4 linked regions of the Caenorhabditis elegans genome follow. The protein of the gene in region 4 purifies or fractionates together with the protein of the main gene of each other region. This does not show direct contact. Each region holds a gene or a part of one and is shown on either strand. Other genes may lie near its edges. The genes, in order: set-16, wdr-5.1, pis-1 and utx-1.

Evidence for each region.
Region 1: the proteins of utx-1 (region 4) and set-16 purify together in Caenorhabditis elegans (affinity purification with mass spectrometry, with the first as the bait; one study listed by BioGRID). This does not show direct contact.
Region 2: the proteins of utx-1 (region 4) and wdr-5.1 purify together in Caenorhabditis elegans (affinity purification with western blotting; one study listed by BioGRID). This does not show direct contact.
Region 3: the proteins of utx-1 (region 4) and pis-1 purify together in Caenorhabditis elegans (affinity purification with mass spectrometry, with the first as the bait; one study listed by BioGRID). This does not show direct contact.

Annotation. Positions count from the first base shown.
Region 1 is NC_003281.10:13,642,301-13,647,363, forward strand, and holds the start of set-16 (PHD-type domain-containing protein), read left to right. Parts: upstream 1-1,615; 5' UTR 1,616-1,680; coding exon 1,681-1,686; intron 1,687-1,738; coding exon 1,739-1,840; intron 1,841-1,895; coding exon 1,896-1,972; intron 1,973-2,034; coding exon 2,035-2,475; intron 2,476-3,492; coding exon 3,493-4,138; intron 4,139-4,343; coding exon 4,344-4,457; intron 4,458-4,912; coding exon 4,913-5,063. Other genes in the region: T12D8.10 (BolA family protein), read right to left, coding at 1-27; drr-2 (RRM domain-containing protein), read right to left, coding at 465-784, 841-1,039, 1,083-1,166, 1,218-1,238.
Region 2 is NC_003281.10:3,703,126-3,707,284, reverse strand, and holds wdr-5.1 (WD repeat-containing protein wdr-5.1), read right to left. Parts: upstream 2,001-4,159; 5' UTR 1,999-2,000; coding exon 1,885-1,998; intron 1,822-1,884; coding exon 1,564-1,821; intron 1,518-1,563; coding exon 860-1,517; intron 809-859; coding exon 708-808; 3' UTR 501-707; downstream 1-500. Other genes in the region: dph-1 (2-(3-amino-3-carboxypropyl)histidine synthase subunit 1), read right to left, coding at 318-398; C14B1.3 (F-box domain-containing protein), read right to left, coding at 2,329-3,022, 3,070-3,197, 3,246-3,513, 3,565-3,629. UniProt on the Caenorhabditis elegans protein: Contributes to histone modification. May position the N-terminus of histone H3 for efficient trimethylation at 'Lys-4'. Required for di- and trimethylation, particularly for the trimethylation at 'Lys-4' of histone H3.
Region 3 is NC_003282.8:9,791,055-9,798,306, forward strand, and holds pis-1 (PAX-interacting protein 1), read right to left. Parts: upstream 5,539-7,252; 5' UTR 5,536-5,538; coding exon 5,362-5,535; intron 5,305-5,361; coding exon 5,244-5,304; intron 5,198-5,243; coding exon 5,093-5,197; intron 5,045-5,092; coding exon 4,890-5,044; intron 4,846-4,889; coding exon 4,533-4,845; intron 4,466-4,532; coding exon 4,106-4,465; intron 4,048-4,105; coding exon 3,898-4,047; intron 3,663-3,897; coding exon 3,334-3,662; intron 3,279-3,333; coding exon 3,036-3,278; intron 2,986-3,035; coding exon 2,864-2,985; intron 2,735-2,863; coding exon 2,520-2,734; intron 2,468-2,519; coding exon 1,982-2,467; intron 1,927-1,981; coding exon 1,711-1,926; intron 1,391-1,710; coding exon 1,301-1,390; intron 1,252-1,300; coding exon 1,040-1,251; 3' UTR 883-1,039; downstream 1-882. Other genes in the region: T13F2.4 (FTH domain-containing protein), read left to right, coding at 641-863; T13F2.2 (Putative RNA polymerase II transcriptional coactivator), read right to left, coding at 5,790-5,891, 5,938-6,027, 6,071-6,172, 6,218-6,298.
Region 4 is NC_003284.9:8,555,259-8,563,311, reverse strand, and holds utx-1 (JmjC domain-containing protein), read right to left. Parts: upstream 6,162-8,053; 5' UTR 6,133-6,161; coding exon 6,067-6,132; intron 6,015-6,066; coding exon 5,938-6,014; intron 5,885-5,937; coding exon 5,558-5,884; intron 5,509-5,557; coding exon 5,388-5,508; intron 5,056-5,387; coding exon 4,915-5,055; intron 4,861-4,914; coding exon 4,588-4,860; intron 4,472-4,587; coding exon 4,352-4,471; intron 4,208-4,351; coding exon 4,075-4,207; intron 3,384-4,074; coding exon 3,199-3,383; intron 3,152-3,198; coding exon 2,927-3,151; intron 2,499-2,926; coding exon 1,626-2,498; intron 1,571-1,625; coding exon 981-1,570; intron 933-980; coding exon 744-932; intron 560-743; coding exon 439-559; 3' UTR 77-438; downstream 1-76. Other genes in the region: dhhc-14 (Palmitoyltransferase), read right to left, coding at 7,417-7,587, 8,006-8,053.

The sequences.
Region 1 (5,063 bases), on a different chromosome or scaffold from region 4:
ATTGACTCTTTCCACTGGTGATGCCATCTGTCGATTAAAATTTAATTTAGGAACTGAAAATTGAGCAGAAACGAAAATTGGAGAAAACCACACAAAAACCAGATTTTGAAAAAAAAAGTATAAAAATATTTTTTTATTGATTATTCATATATTTCGCATGTTTTTAGTGTATTTCTATAAAGAAAAATAAAGGAATAACTAGTAAAATCAACAGAACAACAAGTAGGTGGGGGAAAATATATGCTTTTGGGACTTTTTGGGGTTTAACAACAAACAAACTTTTTATGTGAAAGGATTCTGAGGTAATTTGTGATCATTAGACATTCAGAAGGGGTTGAAGAAATGGTTATACCAGCGGAACTTGACGGAAAGTGACGAGGGGACAAATTAGGGGATAGGCTCCTATGATTGCAGGATTTCGTGTCATTCGCGGATCGAAATTCAGGGAAAAATCGAAAAAAAGTTTATTGGAAAAGCTTCTCCTGGCGTCTCTTGGTCTCCTCTTCTTCTTGCTTCTTGCGAGCCTCGATCTCAGCGGCATCTGTGGTACGGGGCTTCAGGTTGAGACGTGGACGTTCTGCTGGCGGAGCTGATGGATCTGAAGTTTCCTCGGCTTTGTGTTGTTCTTCGCTCTCGCGACGTTGTCGGTATCCACCGCGATGTCCTCCGCCGCCAAATCCGCCACGACGCTCTCCTTCGTTGAAGCGGCCACCTTCACCGCCACGCCGGAAGCCTCCTGCTCCACGACCACGTCCTCCGCGATCTCCGAAGTTTCCTCCGCGTCCTGAGCAAAATTATTGTTAAAATGAGCGGAGAAAAATAAAATAATAACTGAAATACCTCCACGACCACCTCCGCGGTCACTGCGATCGCGCTGTTGGGCACGATTAACCTTGAGTACGCGATTTCCGAAATCGGCTCCATTAAGGCCACTGATAGCAGTATTCATCTGTTGTTCATTCTCAAAAGTGACATATGCGAATCCCTTGAAACTTCCAGAATCTCTGTCGTGCACAAGATGAATATCGAACTTTTTGAGCTGAAAAAACATTTATTAGAAATTTCCTGCTTTTCCGCAGTACCTCTTCATCTGTGAACTTGCAGTGCTTTAATATAGTTTCGATGTCAGTGGCGATGGAGTCATAGGGGAGCCCACCGATGAATGCCTGTAAAATTCGATATATTTAAAATGCCATTGCTTTGAAGTACCCACTAACCTTAAAAATCTCATCGGCCATTGCTTGAAAAGCTTCCCCAAGTGAGACGTCTTCTGAAATTCATTTAAGTCTTTAAAAACGCACACACGAAAGCTCGAAAATACATATTTGCAAATCAAATTATTTATTTAATTTTTTTCCAACTCTCAGTCCGCAATCTCGCGTGGCATTCGGTGTATTGGCACAGTGCCAGAGAGACGCAGTGCGGCAGAGATGCGTAGCCGCCCCGTTAACATGGCAAGGGGCTCTACGCAGCGCGTAGAGACGCAGACATGTAACGCTTGGCAAGATGCCAAACAAATCGATACGCCCTTTTCAACAGCCGTTAGAGGAGAATGGGCGGCAGTTTGAACGATTTTTATCTCATTTTCAGTGGAATAACTCATAATAATTATTTTAGAGTCAAATTCGTATCGATTGAAGCTTCAAAAATCGAGAAAGCCGACTATATGAAGTCCAAAAGATGATTGTAAGTGTTCACCGTTCAAAATTTTAACTATACATCAAAATTAAAATTCCAGTGCATCGAATGTGGCGGTACCGCGTTCAACAACACGGAACTATGTGAAAACTGCATGGATGTTAACCGTTCTGGCACGATGTCGTTGGATATGGCCCGTCAGGTAGGAAATTTTCGATTTTCCACTATTTTTTTTTCTAAAATCAGAAAATTTGCAGTGTGACATGTCGTCCAGCTGTGGATCGTGCCAAAGAATGATAACTGCAGATTCGAGGCAGTGCACAACTTGTCGGAAGTGAGATTTTGAATTTTCAATTGTTTTTCACCGGATTAAAATACATTTTTTTTGCTTTCCAGAAGCTACCATCTCTCCTGCGACTCTTCCGACGTCTCAAGCCTGAACAATTTCGTCTGCATATCCTGTCGTCGGCGAAGCCAAATGCTGCCGGACGACGTGATGCTTTCAGCCTCCGCACGCCCTTCTCGCGGACAAGACGCACCTCTTTCTCCATTCAGCGACCCCTCAGTTCCCCAGATTTCACTACAAATGCAACCGGCACCTCTGCCGTCCAGTTATCCTAGAAGTCAGGATTTCAACGGGGATGTGTACACCCAAATAGCCGCCATGCAGCAACAACGTCAGCAGCAGCAGCAAAATCAAGTTCAGCAGATGTTGGCCACACAGGCACAGCTTATGGATGAAATTAGCGATGGTGGTGGTACGAATGACAGCGATCGGAATAGTAGTCCATTTTATCAAGAGGCTTCCGACTACGATGAGGATTTCGTGCCTGCTAGGTATGCCGTAGATTAAAATTCCGTGAAATACGAAAATTCGTTTGAAAATCGAATTAAAGCCTTAAAGGAACACCGTAATACCTTGAAGGAAAGGATGCCCCACTAAAAGGGGAGCAGAACGAAAAGGGGAGCTGGCACTGTGCCAAACGCACAAAACGCCTTTTTCTCATTCAACGCACGTTGATTTTTGAAATTTTCTTATAGAAGATACGCTTAACAACACACGTAACATCGGAGCATCGTTGTATCGTTTCCTTCGAGAAAAATAGCGTTTGGCACAGTGCCAGATCCCCTTTTCGTTGCTCTCCTTTTCATATCTCTCCTTTTCGTTTTGCTCCCCTTTTCGTGGGGCCTCCTCAAGGGAAGCACACTTTTACTTGGGTCTCGCCACGACGAGAAATATATTACTGTAAATTTCAAATTTTCGCTGGTGTTCTTTGTTTTTTGGGTCACAAATATAGTTTTCTGGTAGTTTGGCACAAATAATTTTTTAAAAAGTAGTTTTTAACCTAGTAAATTAGAAAAATTCTGAACTTCAGAAAAATTTATCGATACATACCGTATTTCTCTTATTAGTATGACCTCCGTATCAGACTTGCACTCCCTATTAGTGTTGCACTTCATACCCCCTCTGAAAATTAGTATTGCACTCCCCAATAGTCTTGCATATACTTTTGTCCTGCAAATTGGCCTCACTAATTTTAAGATTTCAACTATATTTTATGTTTATTTTGCAATAATTTTTGACAAAGTTCTATGAAATTGGAATTATTGAACCTTTTTTATTGCAATTACAATCAAATTTTCTAAATTTCCAAATAAAATTGGAATTCTTTCATGTAAAAACTAGAAAGTCCCAACTCAGAAAAATGTTCTGAAAATTAGTATGGCACTTCCTAATAGTATTGCAAGCGGGGAGACCTTCGAAAAATATTGCAGCCATATTAATAGAAGAAATAAGGTATTTATAAAAACACTTTTGTTAAATTAAACTTTTGGAAAATTAATATTTTCCAGCACTCGCGGACGTGGACGTGGTGGAGGCGCCAAGAAAAAACCAGGCCGCGGAGGATCCACTGGTACTCGTCGACAAACGAATCCCGGCCCGTCGGGCTTCTTTTCCGCCACACAGCTTCAGGCGATGAGTGGTGATTTCTCCCACCTTCACCAACCGCAACAAACATCATCGACACGTGGAAAGAGGGGAAAACGAGGAAACGGCACGTCGGTGCCACGTCAGCCTGGCAAGGGACCGGGTCGTGGACGTGGCCGTGGGCGCGGTAGTGCAGCCGCCATTGCTCAGCTCGCCCAGCTTCAACAGGTGCAATACGGTGCTCAGGGAGCCCCAATGTTCAATGGTGCCCCACAGCTTCACCCAACCCAACCCACTGTTGCTCCTACTCTTCCACCCAGTGTTACCTATCAAAATGTTGCTCCAACTGCTCCTCCTGCTCCTCCTGCCCTTCAGACCCCTCTTCCCGATCCGCTGCCCTCAATTGTTCCGAGTTTCCAGCAGGCCCCACAGGCGGTCGCAATTCGAGAAGTCGACGAGCTGATGCTCGAGGATGAAAGCTCACGGCAGTCTGGCGGCTCAAGATCTGATGAGCCAGAGTATATTCGTACGGCTATTGTTTGCAGAGTCAATGACGAGTTTTTGCAAAAGGTAAGATTGAAATATGAGTGTCATAAAGGAAATTTAGCTGGAAAAACTATAAAAATTATTTTTTGTGATGAATATTGAGAATATAATTTTAATATCTTTGAAAATTTGAAATTTAGATTATTTTTTTTGAAAGAAGGTTTTGTCGGAAAGTTTTCCAAAAATTGACTGCTAAGCTCAAAAAATCAACGAATTCCCGGTTTTTCAGGCTTGTATGTGCTTAGTATGCGGATCGATTGGAAAAGGGCCCGAAGGATCGATGGTGGCATGCTCAAATTGTGCACAGACGTATCACACGTATTGTGTAACCCTACATGATAAGGTAGGCAGGCGGAATCCCAATTTCTAGACGGAAAATAGAGTTTTCACTTAAAAAAAACTTTTTTCAGTTTCGAGGCATTCTCAAATCTGATTTTTTTTTCTATAAATTTGATTTAATTTCTTTTTCGAAATCCCGGATTAAAAAATTTAGAGTAAACATTTTTTTTCAAAGTGTCTGTCATAGTGTCAATAGTTCACTAGTAAAATCTTTTTTTTCATAGTATCTGATATTATGCAACCAATTTGATGCAAAAAAAAAACAATTTTCTGAAACTATGGAAAAAAATCGTAAAAGTCTAATTTTCAAGCCAATTTTGTAAAATTCAAATTTGATCGATTTTCCAACTGACAAGATACATTCAGAGTAAGAAATTTATGAAAAGCAGGAATAAATATTAAAATAACCAAAATGTTGAGGTGTTTTAAATCTAGTCGCTAATTTCTCAATTTGTGCAGCTCAACTCAGCAGTAGTCGGACGTGGTTGGCGATGCCTTGACTGTACAGTTTGCGAGGGATGTGGAACCGGAGGCGACGAGGCGAATCTGCTACTCTGTGATGAGTGTGATGTCTCGTATCACATTTACTGCATGAAACCCCTACTAGACA
Region 2 (4,159 bases), on a different chromosome or scaffold from region 4:
GCAGAAAAAAAACCCTTTTGAAATCCACGTGGAAACGGGCTAACGATGGGTCTCGTTAGGTTTTTGGCGGCAAAACTGGATGTTCAAAAGTTTTCAGTTAGTTTCCCCGATTTTCAAGCATTTTTCGTTGTTTTTAATGATTTTTATGCCGAGATTTATGAAAAAATTTATTTTTTGACATCAAATCATTAAAACCAATTGAAAATGCTTTGAAATCGGGCAAGAATAATTGAAAAATTCGATTTTCGGTTTCTTAACCTAAAGAGACCCATAGTTCAGGGGTGGGGCGTTTACTTAGAAAATCTGCGATTTCTTACAATTTTCAGATCTTCTTTAAGATTGGGATTATTTGCAATTTCCTCAACTAGCGTCGAAATCTGTGTAGCCCGAGTTGCCATTCTAAAATTTTCAGCCTCAATCCAGAAAAATAAAATTAAATCTGAAAATCAAATAGAATATCGAAATAAAACGAATCAATTGAATGATCATCTCAATCATCCCACGGAAATTAATATTTATGGATTTTTATATTAGGAAGAATATATAAGGAATGACAGAAAATACGAAGTTTCAGAAAAAAAAGTGTCTGGCCACCGCGCCTCTATAATCAAGGAATATAGGAGATCAAGAAGGAAAAGCATATATACACGGTGACCAAGGGGTAAATATAAATCAAATTTTCGAAATTTTAATTAAATTTAAACAATTTAAACATCCGAGCGCCATATATGAATCTTGTTGTCTGGCTCGAGAGCTCCTGAGGCAATGATGTTCTGAACTGGATGACAATCGGAGGCTAGCACGGGTTCTGAAATGGAAAAAATTTAAATTTGCATTTTTATTTTATTTTTCGACTTACGTGTGTGTCCTTCAAGACATTGAACTATTTCCCGAGTCTGGAGATTCCAGATGTAGATCTTACAATCTTCGGAACCACTGATGATCCATTTTCCACCGGTAACAGAGAAGTTGGCGAAGATGCAATATTTGCTATTCTCGTGTCCAGTGTATTGTTTCAGGGTTTTTCCTTTCGAGAAATCCCACAATTTCAAAGTGCTGTCGAGGTTCGATGCGAGGATGTATTTTCCGTTTGGAGAGAACTTTACAAATGCCACCGGAGGATTCTCGTCGTCGACCAGAGTCTTGATGCATTGCCCATTGGCAGTGTCCCAGATACGAACTAGACCATCGTAGGATCCCGATGCGATGAGGCTGCCGTCTCTGTTGAAAGACACTGCTGACACTGGATCTGAGTGTGCTGGGAGGGTTTTTATGCACATTCCTGTCTTGACATCCCAGATACGAACGGATTCATCGAATGATCCGGAGACAACGAGCGATGATTGTGGGTTGAAATTGCAGCAGAAGACGTAGTTATTGTGTCCTTTCAAGGTTTTGGTCATTCTCGACGTTACAATTTCGAAGATTTTCAGTGTTTTGTCGTCGGAAGCAGAGACAACACAACGGCTGTCGGAACTCCATGCTATATCGTTTACACCCAGTTTGTGGCCGGTGAGCTGAAAATTTAAGGATTAATTGTAATTTTCATGAGCGGAAACATACAGTTCGCTCACAAATCATGTGATCCATGTTCCAGATTTTGACGGTTTTGTCCGCGCTGCTTGTTCCGAGATACTTTCCACATGGGGAAAATTTAGCTGAAGAAATCGATTTTGTGTGTCCTTCCAATGTACACATCAGCTTATAATTTGCTGAACCCGAGGCTGAAGCTCCGGCGGCGTTTGGATTGGGAGTTTGGGCACTGGCACCTGGAGCGGGTGTGCCAGTCGGATTTGATGGCGAAATTGAATTGGGAGAAGTCTGGAAATTGACTATTGTGAAGTCTTATTCAAAAATATACTATTTAACAATAACGAAACCTACAGATGGAGCAGGAGCTGAAGAACCTCCATCCGGAGCATTTGGTACTGTTAATTGATCGATTTGTTGTGTTGGCTGTTGCTCGGCAGCTGAAGCAGCATTTTCGCTGGTATCCATATCTGAAATCACAGCAAAAATCAAAAATTAAGTTGAAAAATGAAGAAATTCATTCAAAAAATATAAAATAGAAATCGTCGTAAGATGCAATGTGCGGTACGCAGAGGCAAGGGTGCATGCACAGCGAACACACAATTTGACGCGCAATGTTTTTGCAGTTTTTTTTTCGGAATTTCTTTTTTTTCGTTAATGAACTCATGTCATGACATGTATCCGTGTCTGATACGTGTTAAAATATTTATATATTCATTCGATTACAGATATAACAAACTTTTCCAGTCATACAAACACTTTATAAAACAGTTAAGCGAAAAATTGTCGGTGCATTATTTAATCTTCCTCGTCTTCATCTTCATGACGAGCCACAGCGGGAGGAATTCCATACATGTGACGACCACGACGAAAGAGTGGCATTCTAAAAACTCCGACTCTTGGCGGTACTTCATCATCGTCATCATCCTCGTCTTCAGCGTTAGGATTCTCGTCTTCATTGCATTTTTCGGAATCAACAGCGAGTGGTTTAACTATTGGCTCATCAGGCAGAATAACTTCGACTTGAATATTGGCAACTTTTGGTCCGTAGAATCCTCTCCAAAATTGTCTATCTTCACCTTCATTCAGAATAGTTAAATGTCGAATTCCAGACGGGTAATCGTCAAACTCAATTGTCCAATCTTCCCAAGGTTGACCAGTCCATTGAGCCCATTCCTTATTTACAGATTTATATCTTTTATGATCAGTGTTGCTCATAGTTTGTACATGGCCAAATCTTTCAATCCACTGAGTCTCGTGATAGTTCAACTGAGCAGCAAATGAGAGCCTGGCTGCACAATCATTACGATGATTGACTTTCTGTGTAATTCTAATTCTCGGGCGAACGTGATCCAAGATCCATGGGTCAATTCCAGAGTTCACCAAATCGATGAAAACACTGATTGAGCTCTCTGTGAATGAAAATACGAAGCACTTGGAAACATCCGGATGTGGTTCACAACCGTTTCCTCCATCTCTTTCCATGTGGATTCTGAAATTGTAAATATTGATTATTTTAAGAACAAAGTATTGACATACCCACTGCCATTCGCTCTGATTGAAAAATCATCTGAACGGAGAGTTCCACTTATTGTGTTGTCACGTGCATTTTCAAAATGAGAAATGAAAAGCGGAGTGATTGGTGAGTAGCCTCTTCCAGACAGAACCTGAAGTAAAACTTTGTAATTTTATTACTATAAAATGCGATAACCTACTATTTTTTTAATATTAAAATTAAAACTTGAAGTGTCAATTTCATTGTCTTCATTTCCAACAAACTTCTTCTGTGTCGCTGCTCTTCTCCACTCCAAAGATGGAAGAACATTTGATATATTTAAAATTCGAGCATATTCAATCCAAAACGAGTCACTTGATATCAAATCATTGAATCGATGGCAAGCCAATTGGCAGTTTAGAAGTGATTTTTTGTCCAGCCTTCGGAAAATTGGCGAGAAACATTCGTTCGGCACAGTTTCTGCATCTCTGAAATAATTCTAGGTGAAAAATTGATATTTTAATTAAGAAAAAACTCACATTATCACTGGAACATCGGTTTTGAACTGTAGACTTTGCATTATCGATGAGAACGCTTTAAACATTTGGGGTCGATGAGAACAATATTTTTCGATTTTAAAGAGAAGAAATGAGTCAGAAGGAGAGAGACGCAGAGAATGGAAGTCTTGCGAAATGCGCATGCATGTGATATTCGTGTTCCAAAAAACTATCACGCTGTTAATATTATTATTTTAAAGCAAAAATATTAATAAGAAAATATTCAATGCTATTTTGAGAATGAGAAAAAAACTTTCTGACAAAAATATTGAGAACCTCTAGATATTCAACTTCTTTATATATTTTATTTTTTTCCTCATCTTGCTGACTGCAACTTTTTAGATTAGTTGATATATATTTGTCTTTCTCTTCTCTTAGTTTTACAGGTTACGAAACATTGATGATCTTCCTTATCCAAAGATACGTGGACAGCAAGAAATAACTTGTCCCACTTTCTAGGTTATCGCCGCCAATACCAAGGTCAAGCAATTCATGTTCTTCAGATTTGTGTTTCTAAAAAGGAAAAAAAAACGAATAACCGTGTTTATGAAGAAATACTCGTGCAATAGGAACCTGT
Region 3 (7,252 bases), on a different chromosome or scaffold from region 4:
ACAAGGGTCTTGTCACGAACAAAATATTCTACGCAAAAATATATCCGTCTTTGTTCAAATAATACAAAAAAATATCGTATTACTCAGATGCAAAATTCTGCGATTATTGCTTCAAAAAATACGGTACCAAGCGCCCAAATTTCAAAAAAAACTTGCGCCTTTTAGGAGTACTGTAGTTGCTAACTTCTCGTTGTTATTGTTCTTTCCTACTTTTCTCCTTTTTTTTTAAGTTGATGTATTTTCATAGGTAAATCAATTTTTTAACGTGTGAAACCAATAGAAGAAAATCCCGTAACAAAAAGAGAATTACCAACTACAGTACTCCTCATAGGCTCATGCTCTTTTAAATAAAACAAAATTGGTCGCTTGGAGACCAAGCGCCCAGTTTTGGGGAGAAAATCACAAATTTTCGCATATGGATAATATTTTAGCATTAAAAAAAACGTTTGGCAACTAGAACATACTGTCACTTTCAATTAAAAAGTTCCAATTTTTCTAACGGTGTTCAAAATCAAAGGATTTGCACTTTAACAGTTCAGACATTAATTTTCAAACCTATTAAAAGGTGGTCTTATAAGAAAAACCGTTTCTCAAGTCAAGACGAGAGTAAAAAAATAAATTCAAATAATAATATTTTCAGCCCAAGAAAAATGGAAATATACTTCAACATCAATAATGAAATCCCTCCAACTTTTCAAACTTCTTCCTTTGATGATACTTATTTGTTTCAAAGGGACAATATCAAAGAAATTATAAATGATAACTTGCAGTTTTTGAATTTTTATTTCAATTGCTCAAAGGCATCCGGCATTCAGAATTTTTATTTTAAATTGCACAATATTGAGATCTCCTATTTTCTTTAGAATTATAAAATATGATTTTTTTAAATATAAATATTTATTCATAAAATTTTGAGAAATGTTGTAAAAATCAACTATGGAACATGGGAAATAATGAGATTCGTTGAGTGATGAGGAGGTGCAAATAAATTTGAATTAAATACTTAATATACAAGTATCAATGTACCATTAATAAAATGCTAGCTATTTTCTGAAAGTACATCTGCTGCTCTTGTAGGCTCTGAAGCAAGTGATGCTGCGGGTTCTTGATCTTTAGGGGGTGCTGTGTACGGTGGCGGTTGTCGGAATACGGGTGTCTTCACGACAATTGGAATAGGGATTCGATATTGTGGAAGAGGTTCGATTTGTTGCCGAAGCATTGCAAACAATACGAGGTCCACATTGTAAATGGCTGAAAGTTTGAATTTTAATATTGAAATTAATTTGGCAAGAAAACTCACGTAATTTAGAACCTGCCAAGTAGCTCAAGAAGCGAGCGTCGTTTTCGCATGATATTATAATAAATGGCTGTTCCGTTTCGACGCATTTCGCTGCAAATTTTTTTTACAAAATAAATATTTCTCAAAACAAAACAGCTCCCAATCAAGGTCGGTTGTTAATTTAATTTTTTTAATCGAAGATTTTCGTTGTTCGATTTTAGTTTTTAGTTTTACCGATATTTCAAAAACAAAATTACGCTTTTTCGAAAAAGGGTATAAAATTTTGGTAATTTTTCTTCTTTTACTTTCATATGTTTTCTCTGTTTTTTCATCAACATAAATGAATCTTTCGATTTTTGATTTCCCCGAACAAGATCGAATTTTTTTTCATGACACAATTGCTCTCAATCATTTAAATGTTTCATATTCACCTAGATATTTTGGATCAGGTTTCTCTGAATGCACATTTCCACCTCCCAATTCGATTAATCGAACTAAATCATTCTGGTTCGGTTCCACAAATCGCGTCACATGAAATTCGATATCTTCAAAAACTGGTTTATTCCTTGCTCTGAGCACACTTCTCTTGCAATTGTATGCAAATTCTTTTTCGAGTTCTTTATCGTGTAAGAAATAATCCAATGTATCTGAAATAATCATATATATATATTTATATTTATAAAAAATGTGTTGAGAACTCACCCAGCCACATTTTTTGTTTATAACTATCAACAATCCATTCTGGATCCATTATATTTTTCCCTCGAATTATGGATTCAAGAAGAACCAGACTTCTCCGTCCAGAAATCAAAATAACATGAGTCGCATCACGAATTTTCTCAACACATTCTCCTCCAAGAAATTCGAGTTTTTTCTTCAAAATCGTCAACGCCTCATCATCAATTCCTTCTCCAAACCATGCTGAAACTCGAGCTTGTGGTTCACGTACTCGGTAGAATTCTTTGCTTAACGGTGTATCCTTCATTTTCTCTTGATGCTCTTCCCAGTGAGTTTTGATTTCATCTAGGCGAGCTCGGGAGCTTTTAATTTCGTCTTCGGTTGGTGCAACTGCTTGATCTGATAGTCGCTTTGATGGGAAGAAGAATGTGTTGTTTTGAAGCGTTTTACGATTTTGTCGGGCTTTCTCGTAAGCTTGGTCCGCAATTATAGTCTGTGATTTCCAGCAAGCTGAACAATAATAAATATGAACTATTTATCTAGTTTCTAACAATGGACTTACACATCATAGCACCAAACTCCTGACTTGCGCCTTCAATGTGATTTGGAGAAGTATTAACGTTTGTCATCACTGGATTTTCTAATTGGTATCTCGGATTCTCCACATTTGGCCTTTTCTGTGGTGACGCCTCGTCGCACACATAAGCATCAGCAATCCATTGAAAATTTACAACAGGAACTTTCCATTCTTGAGCTCTTGTAACTTTGTCAGCTGGCCTAAACTTTACGAATTAAAAATGATCTTACTAGGGAGTGTTTTAACTATACGGTGCGATCGGGTAAAAGTAAACATGTTATGCGATAACTGGCATCTAATTGTAAAACTTACAGTAATTGTAAACTTACTGTTTGGCAATTAATAAATCATTTTGCCTGGCTAAGAATGGTGTAATCTTTGCGCCCATCATTTCAGCCATAAAAGAAATTGCGGCACGTTCGGAACTGTCAAAGCCGGACAATGAAAAAAGCTGAAAACATTGGTTATGAGATATTTTAAACCTTAAAGCAAGAATTGTACCTTTCCGAGATATGGTCTGAAATTTTCATTGAACGGTGGTGGTAAATGAGCAATTCTCCAAGGTAATTCAACTCTTTCTCGTTCCATTACATCAATAATCCATTGGATGGAGACAATTCGCTTTCGATGTTCCAATGATGTCATAACATTTGTATTACGACAGGAATCAACTAAGACATGCGTGATTTGATGGATTCTTTCATGGAATTTTGAAGCCTCAAATTCAATGTCCCCTCCGTGATACTGAAAATTTACAATTTATAGAATGATGATTAAATAATAATAATTTGTAGCTTACTTTAATCATAAATTCCAAATTCTTACGATCGAGTTTGTCCTCAAACAACTTTTCCGAATCGAAGCAATGAAAGTGAATACCAGTTAAATAAAGTTCTGGATCAACATTCATTTGTATCGGGAATGGGTTCACATCGTGATGCATTTGATTCATTTGGTTCATTGTATTCATTTGATTCGGCTGTTGTGGACGATACACAAACTGTGTGGCTCCAGCTGATTGAGGCGGAAGTGATGATGCAGAAAGAATCGGTTGAGGTGTTCCTTGGGTTTGTGGAAGTGGTTGGGATGGAAGAGCAATCGGACGCATTCCATGAGATGTCATTTCGTCTGGAAAAAAGGTTTATGTTGTTCACAGAAAATTGTTCACAGAAAATTGAAGAGGTGTGCGGTATGTGGTTTCTGCATTTGAAGAAAATCAACGTTTTCTATCGATTAGGAAGTACCTATGTTTAAAATGGTATACGATGGGTAAACCGAGTTTTAGGCTAGCTATCAGTATTTTATCCAAATGCCGTACACTTCTGATGCTGAATGTATATTCAATGAACATCATAAAACAAACTATGCAAGCTTCTCGGTAAAACGGGAGTATGCTGTTGAGATTGCTGATTTGGGGACATCAATGACGGTGATCTCAAATCAGCACCAGGTGCTCCTGGAGCAAAATGCGGCGACGATGTAGTACCAGATGGGCCCGGCGGAGCAAAACGATCTGAAGTATTTAGTTTACAAACTTGCAATATTGTTATTCTTTTTGTTTTCAATCATACGTGGAGTTCCAGGGGTCGGTTGCTGTTGTCCTGCCTGAGGCGAAATGTACTGTCGCATTCCTGGTGGAGCAGTTGGCTGACCCTGTCGAAACATTTGATGAGCTGGAGACGAGAATGTAGGGGTTCCAGGCATGCCGGGATACCCGGGAGGCTGCCCAGTAGGTGTCATCTGTTGTGTAGGTGGATAGGTGAACTGCGCTTGTTGTGGCTGTGGATTTGTTCCTTGAGGGTACTGTGGACGTTGTGGAGTCCCTGGAGGTCCTGTTCCAGGTCCGGCAGAGCCCGGGGTCGTTCGAGGAGCAGCGGGCGCTTGTGCAGGATATCCAGGCGTCATTGGTCCAGGCATTCCAGGTGGATAGGCTAAAAACTACTATTTCATTTCTTTTTATTGTTTTAAATTAGTAGACAAAATACACAATTCACTCACCTCCTGGCGGATACGGTACTGGAACTCTCTGTGCTGCCGCTCTTTGTTGGGCTTGAGCTTGCGCCTGAGCTTGGGCTTGAGCCTGAGCTTGTGCTGCAGCTTGCCTTGCATACATTTGCTGCTGCCACTGAGCCGCCTGCTGTTGCGGATATCCCGGAGGATATTGCGATGGATGTCCGGGATGTTGATGCATTTGCATCATCTGATGTTGCCGATACGGTGAATCGTGCATTTGCTGCGGATTCTGGGCATATTGTTGTTGCTGAAGATGTTGTTGCTGTTGTTGTTGAGCCGCTGCTGCCGCTGCCATTGCCTGGAAAAAATTAATTTTAAAATTAAAACTTAATTAAAATCTACCTGAGCATGTTGTTGCTGTTGCATCTGTGCTTGCTGATAATCGTACGGAACGGAAGTCGGTGGACCACCGGCGCTCTGAGGGGTCCCACAATTTGAGCCAGGCATACCAGCACTTTGCGGTGTCATCGGAGTTCCTTGCGAATGTGCGGGACTTTCTAGGAGATAAAAATTCATTTAAAATATTCATAAACACAAAAACCGACCTCCATGAAAGAATTGTTGTTGTTGATGTTGTGGGGGATTGCCCATTTGATGGTTCGGTGTTCCAGTGGAACTCCGCTGACTTCCAGGTGTGCCTGATCCTGAATCTGACAGGAAATTAGACATTTTTACTTTTAAAATGTGTGTTCTCACCTCCTTGGAATATATTGGCTGGGCTCATCGTGGGTGTTCGCTGCCATGTTTGTGGCGGTGGCTGAAAAAATAAATTTGTAATTTTGATAGAAACAGAAAAATTAAAATGAATCAAAACCTGTTGTCTTGGTTGTTCGGGCATTACAAATCCCGACGGATTTTGTTGTTGTGGCACTTGATGAAGTTGATCGTTGGCAAGAGGATTTTGGATTCGTGATGGATCCAAAAGACCCAAGGGAGGAGAATCGGGACGATGTTGAATGTCTTCCTCCTTACTCAACGGGTCCGCCATCTCCTAAAATTGTATTAGATGATATATGATATCAGAAAGGGAAATGATAGATATTTAAAAGCATTGTCAACTTTCTCTTGAAAAATCAAATAATTGGCGATGAGACGAAACATTTTCATTCGGGTCAGCATGGTTTTCAAAATAACTAAACAACATTTAACAACAAAACAAAATGAAACCGGTGGGAAATTACTCTGGTAATGGAAATGTAAGTATCATTCGGAGGAGCAAAATGTAATAATTGAAGTTGGAAATTAGAATTTCTTGTCAATCTCTGGAATGAGATCTTTCAAATTTGCCCATTGTGCTTTGCTCAACGAGATTCCTTTGCGACTTGGCATCATTTTCTGAGAATCCTGAAAAGAACAAAGCATTGATTTGCCTTTTACCACTTCAAATTACTCTGTCAATGTAATATTCTCTGATGTTGACATATTCCTTTCCCTTGAACTTGCTGACGGTCGCGTATCTAAGATTTCCGATCTCAAACATCTGAAACAATTTATTTAACATTTATAAATAATAAAATAATTACCTCATTTCCATCGCTGTCTTTCAATCGTCCAGACACTTCCTCCTCATTCTTAGCTTTCTTTACTTCTTGTTTCTCTTCTTCAACGGCTTCTGACTGCCTTTTCTGAAAATTGACAATATTTCAAACTCAAATTCAAAACAAGACCACCTTTGACTTGGTTTCCTTCTTCTTCTGTTCTTTAGTCACTTTCTTTTCAAGTTCATCTTCAGATGAAGAGGAGGACGACATGTCTGTAAATATATCGATTTTTTGAGCGGCGACGTGTCATTAGACTGTGTGCGGGTAGTTTAATATTTGATGAAACAAAGTTATAGGCTGAATATAATAGAAAAATGAAGTTATACTACCTTATAATAAAATAAAAAGTGTTTTCAATTAAAAATAAATTTAAAATTGTTCGAACAAACGCCTTGGCCTAGAACTTTCACAAAGGAGACTTCTAGGCCATATTTGATGAGTGTTCGGCCAGCAGCCTTTTTTTTTAATTTTTCAGCCGGATTTTTTGTTTCCCAATTTGTTTTTTTTCTTATTTGGAAATTGTGTACATAATTGTAGAATTATCATATATATTGTGTCTTCTGTGGTTAACTCGTCAAATTCATGCATTTCAAAAACAATATGAACGCGCCAAATGATTGTTTCCTCGCGACACCATCAAATTAATTGCTCTCATAGTTTGACCGCCTTATCATTATAATCGTCTTATCAACATGCATTTTAGATGGTAATTATGCGGAAAATAAAAACCATTTCTTGCGTAAATCACGGAAACTGGCTCGCCCGAAATGATACCTCAAAATACAAATTATCAAAGTTTCTGTTCAAAAATTGTTTAATTCTCTAAATTCTTCCGTCCTAAGACCATGATTATAGGTTCATAATAATTTCCAGATCCATTAATTTCGACCTAATGTTTTCTACAGTTTGGAAACATGTTCTTTGTTCTGTTTTTCAAAAATCATCCCATTGTGATGTGGTTCTGTAAAAAACTTTCCACATTTTCATCGATTTCTCCCATCTCTTCTCTCGATTCGGAACTTTTTTTTGCAAAATCTATCGCCCGATCACACCGAAAAGGTGACCTTCGTGTGGTTTTCACCCAGTTTTTCATAGAGTTTTCATACATCAATCCTAGTACCTTTTTACCACTTCAATTTTATTTATCAGTTTAATTTTTTTGTT
Region 4 (8,053 bases):
TGCTCCTGTCACCGCAATATAAAAGATTGACAAAAATGCGGATACTGCCTTCTCTATACTAATAAAACTTCCGTTTATCAAAACAACAGTTTATTTAGAAAAAATTAAAGCTCGAAATAAAAAAACAATCCATGAGCTAACAATCCCACGTTTTGTAAAACATGGCAGTCAGTTTGAAAAAAAAGTTCAACAATAAACAGGAGATCAGATAAATTGAGGAAATAGTTTAAAATTTGGGTTTTCACAGTTTTGGAAGTGTATCGAAAGAGGGACACAAATGAACTAATTGAGAAGATTGAGATAAGTGAACGAGACCTTTTGAGCTTTCGCCAAAAATTGAAACGGGGAAATGTTTGGGGTGAGGGAGAGAGGCACATCAAGTGGAACAGGTTTGTGAAATAAAATATGCAATGATTAAAACGTCCTAACTAGAACTTTCTAGGCAGTGAAACTCATCTTATTGTTGTTAGCTGCGGGTATATATTTCATGTTGTCGTAGATTGAGTACAAGTCGGTGAACGAGAACTGCTGAAGAGCTATGAAGCCTTCGATTCCTTGCCTGAAAAATCACATTTTCTTTTCGAACCACTATAATTCTGAGTGAGGTTCCGCAAGTACTTGTGTATTTTTTAAAAGTAACTTTTCAAAAATATACAGAATCACGTGTTGAATGTTTTTGTATTTTTAGGCATAAAAAATAACCATTTCTAAGCCCAAAACGTTCAAAAATTTTGAAAACTTACGATTTAGCACAGTATACACAGAAGACTGTAAACTTTCCGCCAATATCCTTCACGAACAAAATACAAAACACTTCACACTCGCACGTCATACAGAAATGGGATTGTTCTCCACTTGTTCGAGTATGAGCTTTTATGGTTTTCTTCTGAGACACGATATAATCGGCAACCATTCTCAGGAATGCAAGTGATCTGAAATAAAGTTATTACAAACTTGATTGTTCTTCTTAGGCTACTCACCTAATCAATACACCTTTGCAAGTATTGTAGATGAGCTGGTTGGTAAACTTGACATTCTTTGCTACTTGCCAGCACATTAATTGCATTGGAACTTCACTCTTAAATCGGCGCAGCTTGTTGTATTCGTAGCTGAGCAAAGAGATGCTCAACTGTTGAAAGTTGAGTGGCGCCACATTCCAAGAAATGTTGTTGCACCATCCCGAAGCTTGTACCCAATGAATGGCTCCGCCACTCACATATACCATGTCTCCAGCCTTCTGTGTGAAACGGTGCACTGGAATTCCTGCATCTAATAAGTCATCGATAATAGGCCAAAATGTTCCAGTCAAAAGATCAACGCCATTCTTCTCGCACAACTTATGCATCTTTCCCCAATACTCGTATGGAACGGCAAACCATTCACAGTCACCGGGACCAATGTTTATGTTGATGGAAGCCATGTGATTGCTATCCTGATGAGCTGGTGTTCTGCAGCCAGGAACTTTCATGAAAAGCTTAACAGTATTCATGCCGTGAACTTGGTGCCCCAAGTGGGAGAGCATGTTTGAGCCGGCGATGAGGCGACAAAAAGCAGGAAGTTTAGAAAGTTCCTGAAAAACGGCAGTTGTGTTTGGTTTTAAAATATGGAGCAATAAAAAAACTTACGTTGATCTGTTTTCCCCATTTAGTGTCATCAGATAAATCAATATTAGTTCCATATTTAATAGACTTCAGATGTTTCGGTGGAGAGCTGGCTCGCTTATACAATTTCATTCTTTTAGGAGAAGGTCCACGTGTTCCTCCCACATTTTTCTTGATTTTCTCAGCTTCACCCTTTAGCGTGTGCTTGAACGATTCCGATTGATACTCGGCATACTTGTTGACTGTTGTGTACGAGGGATCACTGACACATTGCCATGTCTGTTGACTTGCATGATCACAGTTCGTTTCTGGTGGTAGTTGATACTGAGTTCGGATTTCAATTTCTTGGTTTCCGTCAATTTCTGCCACTGCTTTCGTGGAGAATAGCGACAAATCGAGGCGAAGGCAACCAGTAAGTCCACGAATACAAGAAATAGTAGACCCATCCAAAAACCGTTGTAATTCCAGACTTTGAGCTTCCTTCCTATTGTCCACCGTAAGAATTGGGGTTTTAAGAATTAATGGATGCTTTTCACTCCTTTCTAGCGCCGTGCGTACATCTTCATCTGTTACAATTGGCTTTACGGGACCTCGTGGTGGCTCGGGTAACTTCGCAAATTCTTCAAACACTGGTAGGTATGTGGAGTTTGGCTGAGTTCTTCTATGAACCATTTGCATAATTTCCTGAGCGCTGATATCCATTGAAACATAGAGCTCCGAGAGCAAACTGAAACTATCCGGAAGGTCATTAAACGAAATTTTCGGTAAGAATGGGAAGCTGTAGCATCTCGGCGATTCAAGTAGATGCCCATGGTCGCGAAGGTTTTGGATCATTTCCTCGGTGACACGTGGCATTTCACGAACGGCTTCCGGAATTACGTATTCAATAACTTTTGCCTGAAAAATTTAATGTTTTTCAATAAACCATTTAATAATCCCTATGGTTTTCAAATGTTTCAGATTACAGAAAAAGTGAGTCACAACTTTAACTTTCAGTTCTGATCACGCTTCAGTTATTCAGAATATATTTTACATGCGACAATAGAACATAGAAAAGCTTTATAATTAGGCTCATTGCGTCTACTCAAGAGATTTGTGCAACAGATACGCTATGAAATTCTCTCGTTTTTTTCCTTTTTTAATGTTAGAAGCAACACTGGCGGCCGCCCTGGCAGCAACTGCATCATCACTTCCCTTGATGTACTGGCATAAATGTATAGCTATCATACACTAATGAAAAGAGTATGACTTCTAAGCCGTGTTTGGCCTTTTTTGCTCGCATTTTTCACTGGCCTGTGTTTGTCAGCTATTTGAGCTCTTATTACCTTAAACACTGCCTCGCTGGTTTCCAAACACTCAAGAACTTCTCTCTCAGCTTTTACTAAAGCTGGTTCGTTGGCACGAAGCAACTGCATAACCTGGATTTCGAGATCTTCCATTGGCCTTGGATACGTTACATCCCATTCCATATCTTCCGGCTTTTCATGCTCCATTGTTCTGAAATCTTCCCAAAGATCCCAAAACGCGTTGTCATACTGAGCTTCTCTGTCCTAAAAATTGTGGTTTCAAAAAAACGCACATGACAACAATCACTTACAGCATAGGCAGCGTCTTGACGATTACGAAGCTCTAGAGGTATTGGCTGCTCATAAGCTTCTTTCAATGAAGGTATCACGGTTTCAAATGTTGATGACGAGGCGTGATTTGAGGGACGTGCGGGCACAGGCATCGAGAGTTCTTTTTCAAGAAATTGTACACGAGCTTTGATTGGTTCCGGAGCAACTGAAATGTCATGATAACATTAGTTTGTTCTTTAAAAAATCTGAAATCGTTAATTACTACTACTCACTCAAAACAGCCTCTAGCTTTACATTTAACCTACATTTACAAGCTCACCTTCCTAAAACTTGAAAAACTCAAAACTGCAATGAAATATATTGTTTCTCTTTTTAATGGATACTGCGTTTCATTTGTCACGTCTTCTATTTTATTAAACATTTTCAACTTGGAAACACTTACAGTGTGTATTGCTAATTTCAAAATGAATGTTGTTTGTTATCAGAGCTTTCTTAGAAAAGACCATTACAATTGAAACAACTTGGTTTTTTTCTTAAACATTTTTCAGTCGTTGTCATAAATGTTGTCATACTTCCTTTAAATATATTTTCCAATCACGTGGAAATTTTATCTGGTGACTAGAGATTAAGCAGATTAGTTGTGCTTCTGTTATATCCTTTCATTTCTCTTATATTTTCGTTTAAGTTTACATTCAATGTTTGGCGATAGCAAATTTAGCGACACCCATTCTACTATAGACAGGCAAGTATCATTGGCTGATAAGAAATGAAGAAAATCATATTGAAACTGATTCATTCACAACATTTTTTGATAGAAATTTCAATTTGGTTTTTCCAGAAAAGTTATAATTTATTTATATTCTTCTACTTTTTCTTTCAGGAAACCATCAACATACCTGGATTGTTCAGCATTGCATTTTTGAAACACTCCAGCGCATCTTGGTACTGGGCATTTTTCTCATAAAGCTCTCCGAGATCTGTCCATGCCGCAGAATGTGTTGAATTCAGCTCAATTGCACATATGAATGCCTAAAACGTGTTCAATATATTAAAAATTGGAGGCATTTATTGGAAAGATTGGGGTGGGCATACGCCATTGTTTTGAGAATTGCTCTGATCTTGCACACTGTGCACATTGTTTCCAAAAACTCTAATTTTGATTCCTGAACATACCTGAAGAGCATCAATGGGTTGATTTTGTCGCTGATACAGAGCTCCAATTGAGCACCACGTGTCCGCATTCTGCTCTTTTTTGTCAATCGAAAACCGGTAGTTGACAAACGCATCGTGTGCCTTAAATTCAGGAAGAATTAAATTATTTTCCTAACGTTTTTTTTTGAAAATTAGAGGTTAATAGAAATAAAACAAGTTATTTTTTAAGATTGTTAAGGAACAAAATGAACACAAACCACTTGTCCACTAACACTAGGCTCGTGTTCCCCGTAGACTCGTCCCAGATAGTAGTAGCTTTGTCCATCTCGTGGATCTGTATCATGTGCACTAATGAGATTCTCTTGGGCCTTCTTCAAATGATCCAGACGATTTGCATCGTCTTTATAAGAGCGGCGATATGAAATCCAGCCAATTTGTCGCAAACATGCTGCTTTCACACTTATCAATAAGTCAACTTGTTGTTGATCCACATTCGACTTGCTTTGTAAGAAACTGATGTGTTGTGTTAACTGAAATTATTCGATTTTTTTTTGTTTTTAACATTGTTTGGTGATACTACTCACTTCAGTTATTAGGTTTTCATATTCTGATTCTGCAATTTCAAGCTCATCATTATTCTCGTGGCTCAGAGCAATGTTGTACTTAATTGTGAATTTCGGCATAAATACTGACTCATCACTGTCGTTGACGGCAAGTTTGAACAGCTGTAAAATATAATAAGTTTATTAAATAACTGAAAAGATTTTACGAAATTTTACGCATTGTAAAGTTTCTGGAGTATAGCTTTTTATTGCAAAAGCATGCGTATTCTCGGTCTTTTGATCTAGCTTTGTAGAGTATCTAGCTAATTTTCCACAACTAGTTGTGGGAAAACTGCCAGTTTGCTCGAGAAAGCTGATGGTAAGACTTACCAAAAGTTTAATTAAGAAAGATTGTAGAAACACTACAAATTTTAATAACGCATTGAATGCAATTAAAACTTGTTTTTTTTATGTCTCAACTTATAACTTTTTCAGATCGTTTTCTTAATACTTACATTTATGCATCTGTTGTAATCTTCAAGTTCCATGTAACACACTCCAAGACGAACTTTTGCTTGCAATGCGATCATACCGGTTGGAAAACTATATAGCAGTCTTGTGAATGCCTCGATTGCACTAGAAGATTTTGTTTCAGATTATTCACAACAAAAAAACAAAAACTCACGGTTTCCACTGTTTGAAATGCAAGTAGACAAGACCTAACCCGAAGTACATCGAAGGATCATGTGAGAATAGGTCAGGATGATGGCTCAACACTTCTTGATAAAGCTCCAGTGCTCCGGTCCAATCATTTGCCAAAAGAACAACGTGACACTGTTTCGCCAATCCGTAGAAAATGCGCCGTTCGATTGTCTTGTACTTGTGCGTTTTATAAATGCTCTTCATCTCATCCACATATCTGACAAGGTATTGGCGGGCTTTTGCAAAGAACAATCTGACTTGATAAGTGAGATCGGCTGGGTTTTGAACGTGAAACTCGTCGAATGATAAACTGAAAATTAAAAAAATATTTACTTTATTGCAATCTTGTGACAATTTTTCAACCTGCTTAATGTGCGAATCCTTTCCAGTTCATAATTTGTCAGAAGGGGCAGTTCCAGCCATTTTTTAAAGTTTCCAGGCTGAAAAATGAGAAAATTTAACTTTTGCGCACTAAAAACAAGTAATCCTTACATGACGCTCCTCCGGCAGAGGTTCTGATTCGTCCATTGGCGGTGTGAGAAGCGATACGGTGTTCATGCACAAGACTTTTTGGGAATTATACAAATCTGGAAAAACTGCAGCGATTTAGTAATAATAAAATACATACACATAAGAGAATTGTAGGAAACATAACTTGGAGAAATCTTAATCAAGTTTTGACAAAGAAAATAAGCACAAAAAATCAATTAGAGCACTGTGAACTGGTCAATACTGTGTCTTAATTCAAATAGTATGGTTTATTAAACAAAGATCAACGTTAGAAACGGAGTATCGTTGCCATTGCCGTGCGTTCGCAGCCCGTCTCTACTGTGCCTGTTTGGCGAATGGTGGAGGGGGAAATGGAGAGGTAGTGCTCGGTATACGGACGCGCAGACGGTTAGAAACGCTTGGGCGGACAAGGAGTGGGTCGATGGTGTGCGCAAGTATGGATTGGGGTCGTCAGGGGGCAATTTGTGGAAAGGGTGAATATATGCAGATTTCGCAATACCGCACAAAGTGGAACTGAATCTCATTCAGAAATTTGTAAAATCGAGAGAACATGAGTTATGAAAAATTCCATGCTAAGAATATTGTCAAGCTACTCTGCTTTATTCTTCAAAAATATGTAAATAAAAAACTAACACAAATCTTGAACAATATTGCCAATAGTAATAGAACTTTGGTATCTTTATAGTTTTTTGAAATGTCTTTTTCACATTAAGTTTTTGATCCACTTTGTTTGAGAGCAACCAGTACATTATTGTGGATCTTGTTGTAGAAGTTATTACTTTAAAACCTGAGCTTTTTGAGATTAACAACAGGAAGACCGCTGGAAAAAAAAGTTACAATCCAAGATTTTGGACAACACAAACTGAGTTCTTGTTTAATTTCAAGAAAATTTATTTACATCTAGGAAAACAGTAAAGAAAAAGAGATCTCGGAAATACGCAAGAGAGAAGAGCAAAGTAAGAAAACTGATGGAAAACTTCAAATATCTCCAAGCACTTGATTCTAACCGGAATGTACAAAAAGTTTAACAAAAAAGGAAATGAAAGAGGGAAAAAGGGAGATAGAGAGCATTTAAAATCTTTTCACAACCAAATTATACAAGTGAAGTATCTCATGTAAAACTGAAAGAAAATGAAAAAGAGTAGATTGTGAATGGGGGAATGGGCGGGGATGAAATTTAAATTTAGGTTTCTGATTCACATTTACAAGTATTTTGTTTTTTATTGATAGATTTGTTATGCCATAGAAAAGTTTTGATTCTCAAGTTTGAAAAATCCGGGGAGCAGGGCAAGTTTTTCAGGTCCGATGAAGATAAAATCCGAATTTGTATTTTCACCAGTTTGGATCGCCGTTAGAGGAAAAGAATTCCAGAAGATTATGACACCGTTTCGAGATGCTTGGCTTGTGATGAATAACATTGTAGTCAGTGGAGCCGGAGTGAGAATGGGCATGACCAGCTCGGCGAGCTTTGATACGATCGTTGGTCGTCACTCCTTGCGAGATCTATAATAATTATTGTATTTAATTTTTTGTAACAAGAATGAATAATTTCTAAAATTGAATTACCGAATGTTCTCTATTAGTAATGTGGCTGTTGCTATCAATAACGCATTTAAATGTGTCCACGAAAATTTGTGTTCAAGTCTCTAGCAATCCTAATTTTGTTGGAAATGCCAATTTCAAAGATTTTCATTATTTGCAGTTCAATTGTCTTCTATGTATAATAAAACTCCTAACAACCAATTAACAAAAAAAACGTCAATAATTAATTTATTTTTAACAACTTTTTTTAAATCGTCACCTAACACAATAGCTGTTTCATTTGAAAATAGGTAATCTCGAACTAAATTTAAACTATCAAAAATAGTATTGCATACAATACTAATAGGAAAAATATTTGCCTGATTCATGAAATATTTACCTGGTTCATTTGAACACAGAACAGCACGGCAAGCATGAGTGCGTGCAT